3 linked regions of the Anolis sagrei genome follow. The protein of the gene in region 2 purifies or fractionates together with the protein of the main gene of each other region. This does not show direct contact. Links are inferred from orthologs where the notes say so. Each region holds a gene or a part of one and is shown on either strand. Other genes may lie near its edges. The genes, in order: DAAM1, RHOC and RAP1GDS1.

What was found.
Region 1: the proteins of RHOC (region 2) and DAAM1 purify together in Homo sapiens (affinity purification with mass spectrometry; 3 studies listed by BioGRID and IntAct, counting the BioPlex papers as one, with this or other methods). This does not show direct contact. The link is inferred for Anolis sagrei from reciprocal best matches to the Homo sapiens genes RHOC and DAAM1.
Region 3: the proteins of RHOC (region 2) and RAP1GDS1 purify together in Homo sapiens (co-immunoprecipitation; 3 studies listed by BioGRID and IntAct, counting the BioPlex papers as one, with this or other methods). This does not show direct contact. The link is inferred for Anolis sagrei from reciprocal best matches to the Homo sapiens genes RHOC and RAP1GDS1.

The regions. Positions count from the first base shown.
Region 1 is NC_090021.1:333,954,482-333,962,267, reverse strand, and holds the start of DAAM1 (disheveled-associated activator of morphogenesis 1), read left to right. Parts: upstream 1-4,741; 5' UTR 4,742-5,001; intron 5,002-7,786. UniProt on the Homo sapiens protein: Binds to disheveled (Dvl) and Rho, and mediates Wnt-induced Dvl-Rho complex formation. May play a role as a scaffolding protein to recruit Rho-GDP and Rho-GEF, thereby enhancing Rho-GTP formation. Can direct nucleation and elongation of new actin filaments.
Region 2 is NC_090024.1:200,860,382-200,868,226, reverse strand, and holds the start of RHOC (rho-related GTP-binding protein RhoC), read left to right. Parts: upstream 1-4,822; 5' UTR 4,823-4,927; intron 4,928-7,845. UniProt on the Homo sapiens protein: Regulates a signal transduction pathway linking plasma membrane receptors to the assembly of focal adhesions and actin stress fibers.
Region 3 is NC_090025.1:25,786,689-25,793,689, forward strand, and holds the start of RAP1GDS1 (rap1 GTPase-GDP dissociation stimulator 1), read left to right. Parts: upstream 1-3,913; 5' UTR 3,914-4,164; coding exon 4,165-4,168; intron 4,169-7,001. UniProt on the Homo sapiens protein: Acts as a GEF (guanine nucleotide exchange factor) for the Rho family of small GTP-binding proteins (G proteins) that stimulates the dissociation of GDP to enable subsequent binding of GTP.

The sequences.
Region 1 (7,786 bases), on a different chromosome or scaffold from region 2:
TATGTCCGTGTGTGTGTGTATATATATATATTGTTAGGTATATATATATATTGTTAGGTCCCCCTCGATGGACTGTCACCTTGTCGTGGTGAGGGGGCTTGCGTGTTCCGATGAACCTGTGGGCACAACAACTGGAGTCGTGCACTCCCAGGAGTGGCCGCGGGGGAGGTCCCAGACCAAGCACAGTCCGAAGACCCAAAGACCTCAACGGCGGAGCAGGCGGAGGATAACATGGCACATGTTACAACGGCTGCGAAGGCGGAAGAAGGCTGCAACAGACTGAGAAGCCACGGTCATTGTGTTAAACTACATCACCAGTGGAACCTCACTCTGTGAAGTCTGTGTGTTGATCAGTTGTGCACTGACCTCCACACATTAAAAAAATCCACGCACAGGCGTCTTCCAAAGAAAATAAAAACCAACCAACCAAAGTCCCATGGCGATCAGCGAGTGGCGACGGGGGCAGGACTGTGAAATCTGGAAGCCCCTAGTCACAGACTGGCACATGGGCGGTGGGTACGGACTCAGTCGTTCTACCTCAAGGTCCGAGGCAGTTGAGTAGTTCGGCAGCTGTATCCACGACTGAGCAGCCCTATTCAGGACCCACTCTGCTCACCCCACATGGGGAGGGGGCTAGAAAAGGTGCCCCAAACATAGTCTGCCTCACTCATCCCTGACTGGACTGCCGCGTCCAGTGGGGTCACCACCCTGCGGCCAAAAAAGAAAAATGAACTTCGGTACGTGGAACGTACGGACTCTGATGGACAACAGTGGCAGTGAACGCCCCGAACGCAGAACTGCCATCATTGCAAGGGAGCTGGGACGCTTCAACATCGACATAGCAGCCCTTCAGGAGACCCGGAGAGCAGGAGAGGGACAGCTGAAAGAAGAAAAAGGAGGCTACACCTTCTTCTGGAAGGGACTGCCCAAAGAAGACCAAAGAATGCACGGAGTTGGCTTCGCCATCAGAAACGATCTGGTGAAACATCTGTCCGAAGCACCCACTGGCATCAACGAACGACTCTCAACCCTCCGAATCGATCTTGCCAAAAACCAACGGGCAACCATCATAAGTGCCTATGCACCAACACTAGATGCTGACGAAGACATCAAGGAGAAATTCTACTGTCAGCTGGACACCGTCCTATCGGGGATACCTAAGGGGGACAAAATCATCCTCCTGGGGGACTTCAATGCAAGAGTCGGGCGAGACTTCGACCTGTGGCCAGGGACCATTGGAAAAGACGGGGTTGGAAACAGTAACTCAAATGGCATCCTGCTTCTCACCAAATGTGCGGAGCACAACCTTGTCATCACCAACACGCTCTTCCGCCAGAAAAACAAGTTCAAGACATCATGGAAGCACCCCCGGTCAAAGCATTGGCACCTCTTAGACTATGTAATCACACGCGCCAGAGACCGCCGTGACGTGCTCCTCACAAGAGCCATGACAGGTGCTGACGACTGCTGGACCGACCACAGGCTAATTCGATCCTCGATGGCTATCAAGATCGCCCCCAAGCGCAGACTCCAAGGAAGGAAGACAAGGCGCAAAATGAACACCCAAGCCCTTCAGGAGCCCTCCAGACAAGCCCATCTCCAAACAGCACTCAAGGACCATCTACCCACAGAACACCCCGAAAATGTTGAGGAACATTGGAACAAACTGAAGACCTCCATCATCCAAGCCTGCGAAGAAACTATTGGATACCAAGCCAAGAAACATCAAGACTGGTTTGATGAAAATGACATCGAGATCCAACAGCTAATTGACAAGAAAAGGAAAGCCTTCCAAGCATGGCAGAGAGACATCAACTGTGCTGCTAAGAAAAAGATCTATGCCAGTGCAAAAGCTGAGGTCCAAAGAAGGACAAGAGAACTCAAGAACATCTGGTGGACAAAGAAGGCCGAAGAAATCCAACACCTGGCAGATACCCATAATGCTCAGGGATTCTTCAAAGCCACAAAGGTCATCTATGGACCAAGAAACCATGGCATACAGCCTCTACGCTCATCAGATGGAACCAAACTCCTGAAGGACCAAAACTCAATTGCACTACGTTGGAAAGAACACTACCAAAGCCTCCTGAACCGCAGCTCCAATGTGGCCGACGAGGTCCTCTCACAAATCCCACAACAACAAACCAGGGATGAGCTTGCAGCACTGCCTAGTTTGGAAGAAGTCAGCAATGCCATCAGCCAACAGAAGAATAACAAAGCCAGTGGACCAGATGGGATCCCTGCTGAAATCTTTAAAGAGGGAGGACCTGAGCTAACACACCAACTCCACCAGCTCATAGAAAAAGTGTGGGTGACCGAGAAAATCCCAGCAGATTTCAAGGACGCCACCATCATCACCCTCTTCAAAAAAGGGGAAAGAACAGACTGCGGAAACTATCGAGGTATCTCCCTTCTAACCTCCGCTGGGAAAATCCTCGCAAGAATCCTTGCAAACCGCCTTCTGCCCCTCTCAGAAGACACCCTCCCAGAATCCCAGAACGGCTTCCGCCCCTCCAGAGGAACCGTGGACATGATCTTCACTGCACGACAACTCCAAGAAAAATGCAGGGAACAAAACCAACCCCTGTACATGGCATTCATCGACCTTGCAAAGGCATTTGACACAGTGAATCGCAGCGCGCTCTGGACCATCCTCCACAAAATCGGGTGCCCTAACAAATTTGTGAACATCCTGCGGCTCCTCCACGATGACATGATGGCAACAGTTTTGGACAGCAGTGGCTCCCAAAGTGACCCATTTAAGGTGGAATCCGGTGTCAAACAGGGATGTGTTATCGCCCCAACTCTATTCTCCATCTTCATCGCTATGATACTTCACCTTGTTGATGGGAAGCTTCCCACCGGAGTGGAAATAATCTATCGGACAGATGGCAAGCTATTCAACCTCAGCAGACTGAAAGCCAAAACCAAGGTTACAACAACATCTGTTATAGAACTCCAGTATGCTGATGACAATGTCGTCTGTGCGCATTCAGAAGAAGATCTACAAGCCACTCTAAACACCTTCGCAGAAGCATACGAGAAGCTCGGCCTGTCACTGAACATTGAGAAAACCAAGGTGCTGTTCCAGCAGTCACAAGCCAATCCCTCTCCAATGCCAGAGATACAGCTTAATGGTGTCACATTAGAAAATGTGGACCATTTCCGCTACCTTGGCAGCCACCTCTCCACCAAAGTCAACATCGACGCCGAAATACAACACCGCCTGAGCTCTGCAAGTGCAGCATTTTCCAGAATGAAGCAAAGAGTGTTTGAGGACCGGGACATCCGTAGGGAGACCAAGGTGCTTGTCTATAAAGCCATTGTCCTCCCAACCCTGCTATATGCCTGTGAGACGTGGACAGTCTACAGACGTCATATGCAACTCCTGGAACGATTCCATCAGCGCTGCCTCCGGAAAATCCTGCAAATCTCCTGGGAAGACAAGCGGACAAACGTCAGTGTGCTGGAAGAAGCAAAGACCACCAGCATTGAAGCGATGGTCCTCCAACATCAACTCCGCTGGGCCGGCCACGTTGTCCGGATGCCTGACCACCGTCTCCCAAAGCAGTTGCTCTACTCCGAACTTAAGAACGGAAAACGGAACGTTGGTGGACAGGAAAAGAGATTTAAAGATGGGCTGAAAGCCAACCTTAAAAACTCTGGCATAGACACCGAGAACTGGGAAGCCCTGGCCCTTGAGCGCTCCAGCTGGAGGACAGCTGTGACCAGCAGTGCTGCAGAATTCGAGGAGGCACGAGTGGAGGGTGAAAGAGAGAAACGTGCCAGGAGGAAGGCGCGTCAAGCCAACCCCGACCGGGAACGCCTTCCACCTGGAAACCAATGCCCTCACTGCGGAAGAAGATGCAGAGCAAGAATAGGGCTCCACAGCCACCTACGGACCCACAAGGAAATCCAAAATGGAAGACCATCTTACTCGTCCAACGAGGGATCGCCTAAGTAAGTAAGTAAGTAAGTATATATTGTTAGGTGCATGTTTATGTATGTGTGTCTATGTGTGTGCATGTGTATTATGTGTGTATATATGTGTCTATGTATGAGTGTTAATGTTTTATATGTATATGTATGTGTGCATGTTTATTGTGTGTATGTGTTGTATGTGTATATGTGTCTGTGTGTGTTACATGTGTTAATGTTTTATGTGTATATATATGTATGTATTGTATGTGTATATGTGTGTGTGCATGCTATGTGCATGTGTGTGTATGTATGCATATATATATAGTTAGGTGTATATGTTTATGTATGTGTGTCTATGTGTGTGCATGTATATATGTCTGTGTATATATTTGTCAATGTATGAGTTTTAGTGTTTTATATGTATATATATGTGTGCATGTTTGTTGTGTGTATATGTGCGTGCGTGTATATATGTATGTGAATATACGTGTGTGCATATATGTGTGTACATTATGTGTGTCTATATTTGTGTGTGCAGATATTCGCACGTACTATACACTACACACACATATATATATATATATCTTGCAGATTATGCCTTGTGCAGCAACCGGCATCCAGGAAACCAGCAAGCTGCATCTGGCCAAGCAGGAGAAGGGCGGGGGAAGCTGGACCACGCGCGGCTTGCCGGGAAACGTAGTCTTTTCATCAGAGCCGACTCCCTGCGGGAAACCGATCGAGGACTCCATTTCCCGGCGAGGAGCGCGGCGGAGAGAGGGGGCGTGGCTTGCTTGGCCGGGGCGTCCAATCAGGGCGGGAGGGGATGATGTCACCCGCGGGCTTGTAAGGCTCGGCGGCGGCTTGGCCGGAGGAAGAGGAGAAGGAGAGAGAAGCCACAGAGGGAGAGAAGCCGGAGAGAGGAGAGGCAGGAGGAGGAGGCGCAGCTGGGTCCGCGGGAGGCGGGGAGGGAGGGCGAGTGAGCTGGCTCCCTTGGCGTCCCTGCGGGGCTCCGGCGAGGAGGAGAAGGAGGAGGAGAAGGAGGAGAAGAAGGATGCGCCTGGGCAGGGGCTGCGGCACCAGGTAAGCCGAGCAGAGAAGGGAGGGAGGGAGGGTGGGCGCCTCCCTCTCTCCTTCTCTCCCTCCTTCTCTCCCTCCCATTCATCCCGGATGCCGGAGGGAGAGGGAGGAAGGAAGGAAGGGGCAGAAGGGCTGGGTTGGGTTGGGGGCGTTGAGGCACCTCTCCAGCTGCTTCCCCTGCAAAGAAGGGGCTTCCTGGTTGATGCTCTTGAGGAAGAACCCTTGGTTTTGGGCAGCAGATTTGGGAAGCAGCTCTTCTTCCCTTCTCCAGTGGAGGTGGATGTCCATTGCGTCTAAAGTGTGGATGGGCTCGATCTGCATCATCTGCCTTCCGCAGTGAGGGTATCTGTTTCCAGGAAAGACTAGCGCTCCAGCTGGAGGTCAGCTGTGACCATCAGTGCTGTAGAATTGGAAGAGGCAGGAATGGAGGGCGAAAGAGAGAAACGTGCCAAGAGGAAGGCGCGTCATGCCAACCCCGGGTTCCAGGAAAGACTAGCGCTCCAGCTGGAGGTCAGCTGTGACCATCAGTGCTGTAGAATTGGAAGAGGCAGGAATGGCGGGCGAAAGAGAGAAACGTGCCAAGAGGAAGGCGCGACGCGCCTTCCTCTTGGCACGTTTCTCTCTTCCACCCTCCATTCCTGCCTCTTTGAACTCCACAGCACTGATGGTCACAGCTGACTTCTACCTCGAGCGCTCAAGGGCCAGGGCTCCCCAGTTCTCGGTGTCTATGCCAGAGTTTTAAGGTTGGCTTTGAGCCCATCTTGACGCGCCTTCCTCTTGGCACGTTTCTCTCTTTCACCCTCCATTCCTGCCTCTTCAAACTCCACAGCACTGATGGTCACAGCTGACTTCTAGCTCGAGCGCTCAAGGGCCAGGGCTTCCCAGTTCTCAGTGTCTATGCCAGAGTTTTAAGGTTGGTTGTGAGGCCATCTTGACGCGCCTTCCTCATGGCACGTTTCTCTCTCTGCCTCTTCAAACTCCACAGCACTGCTGGTCACAGCTGACTTCTAGCTGGAGCGCTCAAGAGCCAGGGCTTCCCAGTTCTCAGTGTCTATGCCAGAGTTTTTAAGGTTGGCTTTGAGCCCATTTTTAAATCTCTCTTCCTGTCCACAAACATTTCGTTTTCCGTTCTTGAGTTCGGAGTAGAGCAACTGCTTTGGGAGACGGTGGTCGGGCATCTGGACAACATGGCCAGTCCAGCAGGGTTGATGACAGAGGACCATTTGTCCGCCTGTCTTCCCAAGAGATTTGCAGGATTTTCTGGAGGCAGCGCTGATGGAATCGTTCCAGGAGTTGCATGTGACTTCTGTAGACAGTCCACATCTCGCAGGCATATAGCAGGGTTGGGAGGACAATAGCTTCATAAACAAGCACCTTGGTATCCCTACGGATGTCCCGGTCCTCAAACACTCTCTGCTTCATTTGGAAAAAAGCTGCACTCGCAGAGCTCAGGCAGTGTTGTATTTCGGTCTCAGTGTTGACTTTTGTGGAGAGGTGGCCGCCAAGGGACTGGAAATGATCAACATTTTCTAATGTTACACAATTAAGCTGTATTTCTGGTATTGGAGAGGGATTGGCTGGTGACTGCTGGAAGAGCACTTTGGTTTTCTCGATGTTCAATGACAGGCCGAGCTTCTCGTATGCTTCTGCGAAGGTGTTTAGAGTGACTTGTAGGTCTTCTTGTAGGGGAAGAAGCAACACAGTTTGGACTAGAAGCAGGCATGGATCATAGGATATAGATCAAGACTACACACACATAGGGGAGTTCCTGCTTCATTTTTGGATAGTTTTCATTCCCTGGAGCACATTTTGTTAACAGATTATTGATATTGCCGACTGAAGGGAATTAAGTGCATCAATAGGGAGATAGATCAAAGGTAGATGTTTTCCCCTGACATCAAGGCCAGTCGTGTCTGACTCTCGGGGTTGGTGATCATCTCCATTTCTAAGGCGATGAGCCGGTGTTGTCCATAGACACCTCCAAGGTCATGTGGCCGGCATGACAGCATGGAGCGCTGTTACCTTCCCACAGAAGCAGTACCTATTGATCTCGCATTTGCATGTTTTTGAACTGCTAGGTTGGCAGAAGCTGGGCCTAACAGTGGAATCTCACCCTGCTCCTGAGATTCGAACTGCCAACCTTTTGGCCAGCAATTTCAGTAGCTAAGCAGTTTAACCTGCTGCATCACCAGCAGCAGGAGGAGGGAATTAGGTGCATTGATAGGGAGATAGATCAAAGGTAAAGGTAAAGGTTTCCCAACCTTTTGGTCAGCAATTTCAGCAGCTCAGCAGTTTAACCCGCTGCGCCACCAGCAGCAGGAGAAGAGAATTAGGTGCATTGATAGGGAGATAGATAAAAGATAAAAGTTTTTCCCTGACATTCAGTCTAGTTATGTCCAATTCTGGGTGTTGGTGCGCATCTCCATTTCTAAGCCGAAGAGCCGGCGTTGTCCATGGACACCTCCAAGGTCATGTGGCCAGCATGACTGCATGGAGTGCCGTTACCTTCCTGACAGCATGGAGTACCGTTACCTTCTTGCCCGAGAAGTACCTATTGATCTACACACGTTTGCATGTTTTTGAACTGTTAGGTTAGCAGAAGCTGGGGCTAACAGTGGGAGCTCATGCCACTCCAAGGAATTGAACCTGTGACCTTTTGGTCAGCAAGTTCAGCAGCTCAGCAATTTAACCCACTGCACTCCCAGGGCACTCCATAGATCAAAGGGGAAGTGGAATTGCAGTCATGTGGTCAGCATGACCGCATGGAGTGTCCTTACCTTCCCACCGG
Region 2 (7,845 bases):
CTGTTTTTCCCCTTTCCTTCTATGGACACATCTCTTTTGGAGCAGAGCACATGAAGAAGAAGAACCAGTGTCTGAAATCTTTTTATAAACAGCAACAGCTTTGAGGTTTGTCTGGGTTGAAGCCAAGGGCCTTGTGGGGCCTTTCTTTCCAGCCTCATTCACAGGAGTTCCAGCCTATTGCTGGAAGTAAGATCAGCTTTGCTTTCCCAAATCCCCGTGTGAAACAGAATGAGAAAGCCTTTCATCCAGATTTAGGAAGCTGGTGTGCCTGGTTTGTTACAAGCCGTGTGTACTGCAAATCTCTGTCTCACTTTTCTTCTTTCTTGTTTTTCTTTTTTGGGTTCTTGCATTTTTGAGGGGTGGTAGTTGTAGTTGTTTTGTCTTTAGTTTTTACTACAAGATTATATCTGGAATTTTCCTGTTGGTAGCTTTGGCATTAAGCCAGTTAGACCAGTTTAAGCCACTTAAAAATCCATACTATTGGCTCTTCAGGCAGGTTAAGGATATCAAGAAGCTGAGGTATTTATTGCTGTAGTCTCTCTCTCTCTCTCTCTTTAATCTAAACAAGATTTCTATTGAGCCCTGGCAGTTTCTGGCACTGACTCCAACGTTTTATTTCTTTTCTCCAGTTGGTTTGATTTAAATTGCAAGGCATATTGAAATAAACCAGTATGCTTTGTTCTCTGAGTGTGCTTGTGAATGTCCACCCTCCCTTTATCTTGACAAAGCACTAGTAGGTTAGTGAAATGGAACCTCGGCTCAATAGCACTATAACTGTAAAAACTACACTTAAAAATCAGGGAGGAGAAAAATTGCCACTTTCATCATACCAAACCACTTTGAGTCTTTGAGGTGCTTGCTGAGAGAAAAAGTATAAATAAACACAAACATAATAATAATAATAATAATAATAATAATAATAATAATGGGTTGCTGTGAGTTTTCTGGGATGTATGGCTATGTTCCAGAAGCATTCTCTCCTGATGTTTTGCCCACATCAATGGCAGGCATCCTCAGAGGTTGTGAGGTCTGTTGGAAACTAGGAAAATTGGGTTTATATATCTGTAGAATCTCCAGGGAAGAAGAAGTAACTCTTGTCCGCTTGAGGCAGATATGAATTTTGCAAACGGCCACCTTGATTAGCATTGAATGGCCTTGCAGCTTCAAAGCCTGGCTGCTTCCTGCCTGGGGGAATCCTTTGTTTGAGGCAAGTGTGAATTGCAAAGTTTAAAAAAGACAAAAGTTCTTTTTTCCACCCTGGACATTCCACAGATATATATTCCTCACCTGCCTAGTTTCCAACAGACCTCACAATCTCTGAGGATGCCTGCCATAGATGTGGGCAAAACATCAGGAGAGAATGCTTCTGGAACATGGCCGTACAGCCAGGAAAACTCACAGCAACCCAGTGATTCCGGTCTTTGACAACAAAATAATAATACACAGCATTAAAAATTCTTAGGAAAGACTTTTGTGAAATCCAGGAAATCAATAGAAGCATCCCTCTAAAATGATGGCATGAGCAGAGGTGAAGATGCCAAGAACTCACAAAGCTCTGTAAGCTATATTACAAAGTCATGCTTTAATCCAAACCAGAATTGCCCAATATTGGCCTTCCCAAGCAGCCACTACTTGTCCAAGGATATATATGTTAAACTGAGCCAGACAGAATCAGGAGTTTTCAGGCACACACCTTGTTTAATTCATTTCCGTACATGTGGTCCAGTATAAACAGGATGTGGAAAGTTAAAGAAATATAAATTTGTGTTGCAGATTTGTGTATTGCGGTGCACTTCAGATACTGTGTATGATGCTCCTCCAAGTGTATTCTTCCTTGGCAAGCAATAGAGGTAAATTGAAATTCTACTCCTCTTAATCTAAAGCAGATGCCTAATCCTTTTCTTTCTTCTGATCATCAATTAATCAGTCAATGACAATGTCTGTCTCTCGATAAAAAAGACTTGGCATATGACAGGCAAGTCTAGGCTGGTCCGATTATCCACCCAACAGAGCAGAGCCAAAATCTTGCCCTGAACTTGAACTTCTTAAATAAATCAGGATATTGCCAATTCCTGCCCATAGTAGCTACTTGGGTACTACATAGAAAACATACATGATCATGACACCTCCTAATGGTATATTTATTTACTATTTCTTTTTATATCATTATCACGTCTTCATTAGGATTTCTGGTCGCTTCTGGTTGCTGCTCTTGCGTTTTGTTACTCTGCCGATGAGTACACATGCCAAGTGTGGAACACTTCTCACTACAAAACAGTGGATGTGGCTCTTAATGAGATATGCCGCATATCACACCAATGGAAAAATTATACTGTTCAGCTGGTATTGCACCACCTGACATCTGCAGGGAAGAGGCAACCAATAATGAAAGAATCAAGGCAGTGACATTTCTGACCCACCCCCTGTTTGGATATCAGTCAGCACGCCAATGCCTTAAATTAAGATATAGTTTTCTAAGATCTACAGAGATACTCTCAGGAACACCTCAGCAAGCAAGAGTTCAAAAGTGGCAGGCTAAAACCCGGAACCTCAACCCATGGCTGATAATGAATGAGAGACTCCCCACTGGGCACACAGAAGACTGGGTGACTTGGAAGGCGCTGAACAGACTGCGTTCTGGCACCATGAGATGCAGAGCCAACCTTAAGAAATGGGGCCCCAAAGTGGAGTCCATGAAATGTGAGTGTGGAGAAGAGCAAACCACAGACCACCTATTACAATGCAGTCTGAGATTGCAAAGTTGGTGCCAGGTGAGTCTTTTTATGGAGGATATTCCATGGAAGCATTACCACGTGCAAAAAAGGGGCTTGTTTCTGTTAAATACAGACTCCTGATATTAAATATTTGACCTAAATCTAATCGCTGCTCCCAATTCACATCAGGAGAGAATGCTTCTGGAACATGGCCAGACAGCCCAGAAAACTCACAGCAACCCAATGGAGTAATGGATCCAAATGGCAAGAGAAGAGATTCCAGTAAGAATTCCCTGAAGCTAAGAACTGAGGAGGGAATCTCCCTCTCTGGAGGTTTTCAAGCAGAGGCTGGATGGGCATCTGCTGAGAGGGCTTTGAATGTGTTTTTCCTGCATGGCAGGGGGTTGGACTGGTTGGCCCTTGGGGGTCTCTTCCAACTATGATCCTATATTGTCTCCCCTCTCCTCTCCATCTCTCTCTCTCCTCTTAGGACAGTGTTGCTCAACCTGGTGGTCGGGACTCCTGAGGGTTCACGAGGGGGTGTCAGAGGGGTCGGCAAAGATTATCAGAAAACACAGTATATTCTGTTGATCATGGGGGTTCTGTGTGGGAAGTTTGACCCAATTCTATCGCTGGTGGGGTTCATAATGCTTTTTGATTGTAGGTGAACTATAAAGCTTAACAACTGCAACTCCCAAATGCCAAGGTCTATTTTCCCCAAACTTCACCTGTGTTCACATTTGGACATATTGAGTATTTGTGCCAAGTTTGGTCTAGAGCCATCATTATTTGAGTCCACAGTGCTCTCTGGATGTAGGTGAACTACAACTCCAAAACTCAAGGTCAATGCCCACCAAATCTTTCCAGTATTTTCTGTTAGTCATGAGAATTCGGTGTGCCAAGTTTGGTCCAATTCCATCGTTGGTTGAGTTCAGAATGCTCTTTGATTGTAGGTGAACTATAAATCCCAGCAACTGCAACTTCCAAATGTCAAGGTTTATTTTCCCCAAATTTCACTGGTGCTCACATTTGGGCATATTGAGTATTTGTGCCAAGTTTTGTCCAGATCCATCATTGTTTGAGTCCACAGAGCTCTCTGTATGTAGGTGAACTACAATTCCAAAACTCAAGGTCAATGCCCACCAAACCTTTCCAGTATTTTCTGTTGGTCATGGAGTTCTGTGTGCCAAGTTTGGTCCAATTCCATTGTTACTGGAGTCAGAATGCTCTGATTGTAGGTGAACTATAAATTTCCGCAACTGCAACTCCCATATGCCAAGGTCTATTTTCTCTAAACTTCACCAGTATTCACATTTGGGTGTCAGAGGGATTGCCAAAGACCATCAAGGAACACAGCATTTTCTGTTGATCATGGGGGTTCTGTGTGGGAAGTTTGGCCCAACTCTAGCATTGGTAGGGTTCGAAATGCTATTTGTTTATAGCATACATCCCAGCAACAGCAACTACCAAATGTGCCAAGTTTGGTTCAGTTCCATCCCAGCAACTACAACTTCCAAATGTCAAGGTCTATTTTCCCCAAACCCCATGACCCCAAACCCCATATTGAGTATTCACGCTAAGTTTGGTCCAGATCCATCATTGTTTGAATCCACAGTGCTCTCTGGATGTAGGTGAACTACAACTCCCAAACACAATGCCCATCAAATCCTTCCAGTATTTTCTCTTGCTCATGCGGGTTCTGTGTGTGAAGTTTGGTCCAATTCCATCCATGGTGGGGTTCAGAATACTCTTTGACTGTAGGTGAACTATCAATCCCAGGAACTACAACTCCCAAATGACAAAATCAATCTTCCCCCAACCCCACCAATATTCAAATTTGGGCGTATCGGGTATTTGTGCCAAATTTGGTCCAGTGACTGAAAATACATCCTGCCTATCAGAGATTTATAATATGCTTCAGAACAGGAGCAACATGACAGTTCTGAAGTAGGAAGGAAAATCATGTTGTGGTCGGGGGTCAACACAACACAGCATGAGGGACTGTCTGAAGGGGTGGCGCCATTAGGAAGGTCGAGGAGGGCCACTGCCTTAGGCGAAGGGCTCCCCAAACTCCTCTCGGGGGCAGGACAGCGACGCCCTCCTCGGCCCCAGCCCCTCCTTCGAGGCGGGGCCAAGCCTTGGGTCAGTCGTCCGGAGTTTCCGCCTCTCTCTTCGGGTCGAGTCGGACGGAGGGGACGGCCGCTCCCAGCAAGGTAAAGGCACCGGGTGGGGGTGGGGGTCGTATGGGGGTGGGGGAGAGAAGGCCCCGGAGGCACCTTTTGGGACCTCACCTGCTGGTGAGATCCAGAGATTACTTGGGTATCACTTCGCCAAGGGCTCTTGTCGCGCCTCAGAGACTGAGGCTGGACCCATCCACTGCCATAGAATGCAGCTCAGGGTAGTTCGAACTGCATGAGGATGATGAGAGTGATGATGATGATGATGATGCAGCTCAAACTGCATGATGATGGTGCTGGTGATGTTTATTTATACCCCGCTTTTTCTCTCCACAAAAGGAGACTCACATTAAAAGCATTCCAGTATAATGTAAAAGCCTAAAATATACTAACATTAACATGGAATGGAACATCAATGTCTTATCGAATACTTTCATGGCTGAAATCACTGGGTTGTTTTGTGTTTTCTGGGCTGTCTGGCCATGTTCCAGAAGCATTCTCTCCTGACCTTTCACTGGCATCCTCAGAGGTTGTGAGGTCTGTTGGAAGCTACGAAATTGGGGTGTATATATCTGTGGAATGCCCAGGGTGGGAGAAAGAACTCTTGTCTGTTGGAGGTAGGTGAGAATGTTTCAGTTGGCCATCTTGATTAGCATTGAATGGCCTCGCAGCTTCAAAGCCTGGCTGTTTCCAGCCTGGGGGAATCCTTTGTTGAGAGTGTTCCTGATTGTTTATTGTCTGGAATTTCCCTGTTTTTTATTTACTGTTATGATTTTAGAGTTTGTTTGCACATACATCAATGGTCTTCATTCAAAATGAGCAGTTCAGATCCTTAGAACTGATTTTAAAAGTGCTCAAAGCTATTATTTGGCAGAGTGGATCCAGCCCAAAATGGATGCAATGACTGCAAGTGCCTCATCTTCTTCTTTCGCCCTTTCACTCATTCTTTTCCTAAGAATTATTATTATTTTATTGACACAAAAGCACAGTATGTCACAGCAAATGAGATCTATATGCTGGATTTCGTATCACAAAATTACAAGTTGAACACTTCCCAAGCATCTAGGACTGTGTGATGTATTTTCAAATGATGCATGCAGATCCAAGTAAGGTGGCCTTTTGCAGTTGACAGATCGTGACTTTGTCAATGTTTATCGTATTATTATTATTATTATTATTATTATTATTATTATTATATAATGCCTCATCATCTTCTTTTGCCCTTTCATAATAATAATAATAATAATAATAATAATAATAATAAGTATGCCCTGCTTTTTCTCTCCACAAGAAGAAAGCCCTACAAATGTCATGTGGTCACCATAAGTTGACACATGACTTGAAGCACACGTGTATACACACTTATTGTATTGTGGGAGCTGTGTCTATCCTGCCTCATGCTGTGTATATGCTGTAGAATTAATGCGGTTTAACCCCACTGAGGGAGCTGCAGTGGTGCAGTGGATTAAAACACTAAGCTGCAGAACTTGCTGACCGGAAGTTCAGTGGTTTGAATCCACGGAAGGTTGGCGGTTTGAATCCTAGGAGCGGGGTGAGCTCCTGTTGTTAGCCCCAGCTTCTACCAACCTAGCAGTTTGAAAACATGCAAATGTAAGTAGATCAATAGGTGCCACTTCAGCAGGAAGGTAACAGCACTCCATGCAGTCATACTGGCCTCATGACCTTGGAGGCATCTACATACAATGCCAACTCTTCAGCTTAGAAATGGAGATGAGCACCACCCCCCAGAGTCGGACACAATTAGACTTAATGTCAAGGGGAAACCTTTACCTTTACCATAATCCCACTTTAACAGGTATGATTCAACAATATGGGATCCTCGGGGTTGGGGTTTGGTGAAACACCAGCACTCTTTGGCAGAAAAGGTGACAGACTTTTTGAAATTCTATGCATGACTCCATAGCATGGCGGTAAAGTGGTGTCAAACAGCATTTATGCCACCGTGTCAATGCATCCCCAGTGAACCAAATGGGAAGTATGCCAGTGGTGTAACTGCACAGTACATTTAAAGCAGTTTGACATCACTTTAACGGTTAGCATTCCTAATTTTTGTAACCTGATGGCATAGGAAAGCAACTACACTTTAAAATGAATGTAGTATAACAACACCTTAACTGTTCTGGCTCAATGCTATGGAATCATAAGAATTGTAGTTTGGTGAGGCACCAGCACTCTTTGGCAGAGAAGGCAAAACGACCACTCTCATGATTCTATAATACTGAGCCATGACAGTTAAAGTGGTGTCAAACTGCATTCATTCTGTAGTGTAGATGCACCTCTTATAATTCATGTAGTACTTCACCCACTCAGCTCAAGATAGAACTCGTGAGAAACAAGTGGAATGTTTTCCCGAGATACTAGAATTTGATTGTATGTAGCTTTATTTCCATCCTGCCTTTTTTCTAGAACCAAGAGGCACCTCAGCTTAAGCGGCTAAGGGGGGAAAGGAAGGGGCCTGAGGCTGTTAGGAATTGTGGGAGTTGAAGTCCAAAACACTTGGAGGGCCCAAGTTTGCCCAGGCCTGATGTAGATGCATCCAATGACCTATTGCTAGTACAGTAGGATGGGTAGAAGTTGACAAGTGGAAAGAAATTAATGATGTGGCAAGGAAGGACAACAGCCAGGGAAGAGCACATTTCACAGCGACTGCTGTTTTATTTTATTTTATTTTTAAAATGCATATCTATTCATTTGATAGTTTTTAATGCCCTTTTATATAGGCAGCTTCACATTGCAGGCCTGGTCCATGCACAGGGAGTTTCAGAATCACTGTTGATGGCATGAGAATCTGGGTTAAACCAAATGGATCAATGTTCCACCTCGGAGGTTAAGATCGTCTGGAAGGCCCTGCTCTTGGTCTCACCTCTTCCGCAGGCACTGTTGGTGAGGACAAGAGACAGGGCCTTCTTAGTGGTGGCCCTTCATCTATGGAA
Region 3 (7,001 bases), on a different chromosome or scaffold from region 2:
GATGTATTTTCATTCACTGGACCAAATTTGGCACAAATTCCTGATACGCCCCAATTTGAATACTAGTGGGGTTGGGGGGGGGGGGTTGAGTTTCTCATTTGGGAGTTGTAGTTACTGGGATTTATAGTTAACTTACAATCAAAGACCATTCTGAACTCCACCAATGACACAATTGAACCAATCTTGGCAAACAGAACTCCCACTACCAACAGAAAATACTGCAAGGGTTTGGTGGGCATTGACCTTGAGTTTTGGAGTTGTATTTAACCTACATCCAGAGAGCACTGTGAAATCAAACAATGATAGATCTGGACCAAACTTGGCACGGATACTGAATATGCCCAAATGTGAACACTGGTGGAGTTTGGGGAAAATAGACCTTGACATTTGGGAGTTGTAGTTGCTCCCAAATTCACCTACAATCAAAGAGCATTATGAACCTCACCAATGATAGAATTGGGCCAAACTTCCCACACAGAACCTCCCATGACCAACAGAAAATACTGTGTTTTCTGGTTGTCTTTGGTGACTCTTCTGACACCCCCTTTGGTGACCGTTCTGACACCCCCTTGCAGCCTAGTTTTTCAGCCCCCTTTTTTGGCTGAAAAAGTTCCCCTCGGCTGATACTCGAGACAAAGTTATTTATCACTTTACTTTGTTATTAGTATAATTTTATTACATGAATTATTTTAATATATTAATTATTATTATATTTACATTATTTTACTCTACAGTATTATTACTTTATTACAGTTATTATTTTACTCTGTTTATTAGTAGTATTATTATTTATTTACTCTTTTTATTATTACATTTATTATTTTACTTTATTTTTATTGTTACTGCATTTATAATTTTACTGTTATTACATTTCCATTATTTTACTCTATTATTATTATTATTATTATTATTGTTATTATTATTATTATTATTATCCTGACACAAAAACAAAGTATGGCACAGCAAATGAGGTATATATGCTGGATTTCATTATTATTATTATTATTATTATATTATTATTATATTATTATTTTACTCTCTTTATAGTTATTGGAGGGATACATAAGCACATTTACTCAAATTACAGTTTTATATAAATATTCAAAAACATTTAACCTACTGATGCCTCAATTAATGTAATTTTATTGATATCTATTTTTATTTTGAAATTTGCCAATAACTGCTGCATTTCCCACCTCGGCTTATACTCGAGTCAATAAGTTTTCCCAGTTTTTTGTGGTAATATTAGGTGCCTCGGCTTATATTCGGGTCGGCTTATACTCGTGTATATATGGTATGTTAATCCCACAAACGAACATTACATATAGATGTTAATGTTTTGAAATGTTTGAAATGTTTTTATGGTGTTGTTGGGCATTTAGTTGTTGCCCCTGTAAACCGCCTTGAGTCGCCTGCGGGCTGAGAAGGGCGGTATACAAATATATTAAATAAGTAAGTAAATAAATAAAATAATGCTATATAGTGAAAAACTATTTACATTTGGCAGTAATTATCTGTCCCACGCAACAAAGCTGAATGCCTAAAAATACCCAAAGTTACCGTATATACTCAAGTATAAGCCGACCCGAATATAAGCCGAGGCACCTAATTTTATCACAAAAAACTGGGAAAACGTATTGACTCAAGTATAAGCTGAAGGTAGGCAATGCAGCAGCCACTGGTAAATTTCAAAATAAAAATAGATACAATACAATTGCATTAATTGAGGCATCAGCCGGTTAAATGTTTTGAATATTTACATAAAACTATAATTTAAGATTAGACTGTGGACCTCTGATTAAATCATTATTCTAACCTTCTTCAATGTAAATGTACTTGCATATCCTTCCAATAAAAGTAGAGCAAAATAATAAGTATACTACTACTACTAATAATAATAATAGAGATAAATAATGAAAATGTAATTATAACAGTAATCTGGCCACAGTGGTCCACGCTCTTGTTACATCCCGAATAGACTACTGCAACGCACTCTACGTGGGTTTGCCCTTGAAGACTGTTCGGAAACTTCAACTGGTCCAGCGAGCGGCAGCCAGACTACTCACTGGAGCGTCATACAGGGAGCACACCACCCCCCTGCTGTGTCAGCTCCATTGGCTGCCGGTCCAGTTCCAAGCACAATTCAAGTTGCTGGTTTTGACCTACAAAACCCTATACTGTTCGGGTCCAGTGTATCTGTCCGAACGCATCTCCCTCTACATCCCACCCCGGAGTTTGTGATCATCTGGGGAGGCCCTGCTCGCGACCCCACCGCTATCACAAGTAAGGTTGGTGGGGACAAGGAGCAGGGCCTTCTCAGTGGTGGCCCCTCACCTGTGGAACTCACTCCCGGGGGAAATTAGGGCATCAACATCCCTCCTCTCCTTCAGGAGGAAAGTAAAGACGTGGTTGTGGGACCAGGCCTTTGGGCAATCTGACAAGTAGATAAGGACAATCAGACGATTAGGACTGACAAGACTGACAATGTGGAATTGGAATTTGGACTATGAGATAGCGAACGCTGACCGTCAATGAGGAGTAATTGGGTTTGTATTGGTTTTATTGTTGTAATGTTTAATTTGTTAATTGTTGCTATTTGTTTACTACTGTTATGTGATGCTGGCATCGAATTGTGCCTTTGTAAGCCGTCCTGAGTCCCGTTCGGGTTGAGAAGGGCGGGGTAGAAGTAACCATAATAAATAAAATAAAATAATAATAGAATAAAATAACAAATATAATAAAAACAATAATAAAGTAGAATGATCAATGTAACAACAACAATAACAATACATTTATTTTGTATTTCTAACAGGGTAAAATAATAAATAACCTTGACTCGAATATAAACCGAGTGGGACTTTTTCAGCTTAAAAAAAGGGCTGAAAAACTAGACCTATACTTGAGTATATACAGTAATTTAAACATGATTTTGGCCTGCATCAATAGGAGCCTAGTGTCTAGGTCCAGGGAAGTAATGCTACCCCTCTATTCTGCTCTGGTTAGACCACACCTGGAATATTGTGTCCAATTCTGGGCGCCACAATTCATGAGAGATATTGACAAGCTGGAATGTGTCCAGAGGAGGGCGACTAAAATGATCAAGGGTCTGGAGAACCAGCCCTATGAGGAGCGGCTTAAGGAGCTGGGCATGTTTAGCCTGAAGAAGAGAAGGCTGAGAGGAGATATGATAGCCATGTATAAATATGTGAGAGGAAGCCACAGGGAGGAGGGAGCAAGCTTGTTTTCTGCTTCCTTGGAGACTAGGACAAGGAACAATGGCTTCAAACTACAAGAGAGGAGATTCCATCTGAATATGAGGAAGAACTTCCTGACTGTGAGAGCCGTTCAGCAGTGGAACTCTCTGCCCCGGAGTGCGGTGGAGGCTCCATCTTTGGAAGCTTTTAAGCAGAGGCTGGATGGCCATCTGTCAGGGGTGATTTGAATGCAATATTCCTGCTTCTTGGCAGAATGGGGTTGGACTGGATGGCCCATGAGGTCTCTTCCAACTCTTTGATTCTATGATTATATTCCTGCAAAATTTTTCAATTTTTTAAAAAATCACTATTTTGAAAAGGCAGATACTAAATACTAAATTGATATGTCAATCCACATTGGGGGGTTCCACTTTTGCAAGTTGGAGTTCAATTATCACTATGTTCTCTTTAGGAGCAAGGCGGGGTCCTTCCAAGCGCAGTGGCTTTCCAGCCCTCTCATTATTATTATTATTATTCCGCCTCCTTTAAGAGAGATCAAGGCCGTGGGATCATGGGAGTGGTAGTTCAGCGGGGGCCTTTAACTCTCCTTTGGCAAAGCGCGCCGGCGCGGCTTCGGAACTACAACCCCCGTGATCCCACGGGGCAGTGAAAGTCGTGCCTGGATTCTAACAGGGTTCGGGGCCAGGAAGGAGGTGCGCGCGCAGGCTCCTCTCCGGGCGGCGCGTGCACGGGGACCCCGCACACGCCTCAGTCGCGGAGCGCGCGCCTGCTTCTCTCTCTCTCTCTCTCGCACACACACACACACAGAACCTTTTTGGCCTCTCGCGGGCCCCACCTTTCCCTTCCTTCATCCCAAGGAAAGGAGGAAGAGAGAGAGAGCTAAGGAAAGAAGGAAGGAGGGAGGGAAGCGCCTCCTCTCTCCTGTTTCATTCCTCTCTTTGGCGGAGACATGGGTAAGTCTCAATTCTGCTTCTGCGAGGAGGAAGCAGAAGTGCTGGGAGTGGGGTGGAGCCCTTGGGTGCATCTGCACTGGAGAGTTAACGCAGTTTCATGCCACTTGGGTTGGTCATGGCTCGAGGCTGTCTGTGGAGTCCTGGGAGGTCTTTTTTCTCTGCCCCCCAAAAGGTTTCATGTCATTGAGGGTGGATCCATCTGCATTGAATCCATGTGATCTGCTTTGAATCGGATTATATGTCAGTGTAGATCTGGCATGGGCCAACTTCGGCCCTCCCTCCAGGTGTTTTGGACTGCAACTCCCACAATTCCTAACAGCCGGCAGGCTGTTAGGAATTGTGGTAGTTGCAGTCCAAAACACCTGGAGGGAGGGCCGAAGTTGGCCCATGCCAGATCTACACTGACATATAATCCGATTCAAACCTGAATCCAGATTATATGACCTCAATCAGGGCTGATTAAACTGCATTCATTCTGCAGCATGGATGCACCCAAGCGTGTGAAGTTGAGTTGTGGATGCACCCATGCATGTGGACTTGATTTCAAACCTGGATTATGTGGCAGTGTAGACAGGGCTGTTAAGCTGCATTCATTCTCTCCACCCATGCAAGTGGAGTTGAGTTATGGATGCACCCACGCATGTGGAGTAGATTTCAAACCTGGATTATATAGCAGTGTAGACAAGGCTGTTAAACTACATTCATTCTCTCCACCCATGCAAGTGGAGTTGAGTTGTGGATGCACTCATGCATGTGGAGTAGATGTCAAACCTGGATTATATAGCAGTGTAGACAAGGCTGTTAAACTGCATTCATTCTCCACCCATGCATGTGGAGTTGAGTTCTTACAGTCAATGTACAGTCAATGCTGTTTCGTACCGATTTATCTGTCATGGCTCATGGAATGTCAAGGAATCCTGGGAGTTGTAGCATCACAAGGACTTTAGCCTTCCCTGCTGAAGAGTGCTGGTGCCACACCAAACTACAACTCGTAACCATTCCAGAGCATTGAGCCATGGCAGCCAAAGTGGTTTCAAACTATTGTCGAAGGCTTTCACGACCGGAATCACTGGATTGTTGTAGGTTTTTGTATGGCCATGTTCTAGAAGCATTCTCTCCTGACGTTTTGCCTGCATCTGTGGCAAGCATGCTCAGAGGTTGTGGGGATGTTTGCCACAGATGCAGGTGAAACGTCAGGAGAGAATGCTTCTAGAACATGGCCATACAACCCGAAAAACCTACAACCCGGTGGTTTCAAACTGCATTCATTTTACAGTGTAAAACATGCCTGGGCAAACTTTGATCCTCCAGGTGTTTTGTACTTCAGCTCCCACCATTCCTAACAGCCGGTTAGGACAGCACAGATGCATTTTATTATTTTCCTTTCATATTCAAATAATTGCAGAATTTAACAAAAGTTATAATTTAGACCCAAGCAAACCAGTTACTGTGTTTCAAAACACATGGATGAACTCCTAATAAAGTACAAGGGGTCTTCTTCTTACTTAGGAAGAATGGTGGGAGTTGAAGTCCAAAACAGGAATGGTGGGAGTTGAAGGAATGGTGTTAGGAATGGTGGGAGTTGAAGTCCAAAACATCTGGAGGGCCGAAGTTTGCCTGGTGGAGAGGCATCTCTGATCCAGAGTTTGGAGGAAAAAAGGATAAAGCACCTTATCAAGTTAAGTACCTGTTGTTGTTGTTGTTGTTGTTGTGTGACCTCAAGTCATTTCCCATTTTTGGCAAAACTTGTCACAAGGTTTTTCTTAGCAAGAGGAGATTTGTGTTGTTTTCCTCTGAGGCTGAGAGAGTGTGACTTGCCCAAGGTCACCTGCTGCTTGAGCAGAGGACCACCACACCCTGGTTTCCAGAGTCATCCAACACTGAAGCCTCTACACCAGTGGTTCCCAACCTGTGGGCTATAGCCCACTGCTGGGCTGCAAGACCTATAATAAGATCCGCAGCTCTAGATTATTAAATACGGTTTTCTGTGGGTTAGCAGATGGCAACTATTGGATGGTAGAGCATCTTTCTAAGGCAGTGGTTCCCTGTGGACTACCAGTGGTCCTCAAGAAGGATAATATGGTCCATGGCCTCACCATTACTACACTGTTGCCTCGAAACCACGCAGCAACAAGAGCGACTGGTTTCGAGAAACTCTTATAGTTCCGAGGCAACGGGGATGTTGGGAAAGGAGAGGCTGACTACCCATGAAAGATTACTACTACCACATCAGCTCTAGATGATTAAAAAAGGTTTTCTGTGGGCGCGCAGAGGGCGACTACTGGATGGCATTTATTCTGTATCAGAAACTAGAACTGATGTGGTCTATCCAATGCAGTTTTCTAAATCAGTGCCCCAAATAACCAAACCGAATCTAAAGTTGACCAAAGACTGATTCGTAACGCTTTTGGAACTAATGTTGGAGAGTGGCCAAAGTGGTCCCTGGTCAAAAAAAAAAAGAAAGAAAAAGGTTGAGAACCACTGCTGTATACCCAGCCTTCTCCAAAATTACTTGCCAAGTATTTGCTGCAGCTCATTGCAAGGCTTCTCTTGCATCTATTATATCCTGCTTAGATATACAGAATATCAGTTTCATCAATTACCTCTCGAAACATGTTGGCTTAGCACATCCGGATATTTCTTTGCTTTTGGGTTTCTTAAATTCTCAAGAGATCAGGTCTTTCTTCTTCGTCATGTTTTCCCACGTGATAAAGCCAACTTGCATTATACCTCTCCTGATATTTTTGTAAGCCTCCAGGCTTCTTTGTCAATGCAGGCAATTTTCAGGCTGCAGTTTTACGCAGACCTTTTTAGGAGTTTACACAGCCTAGGC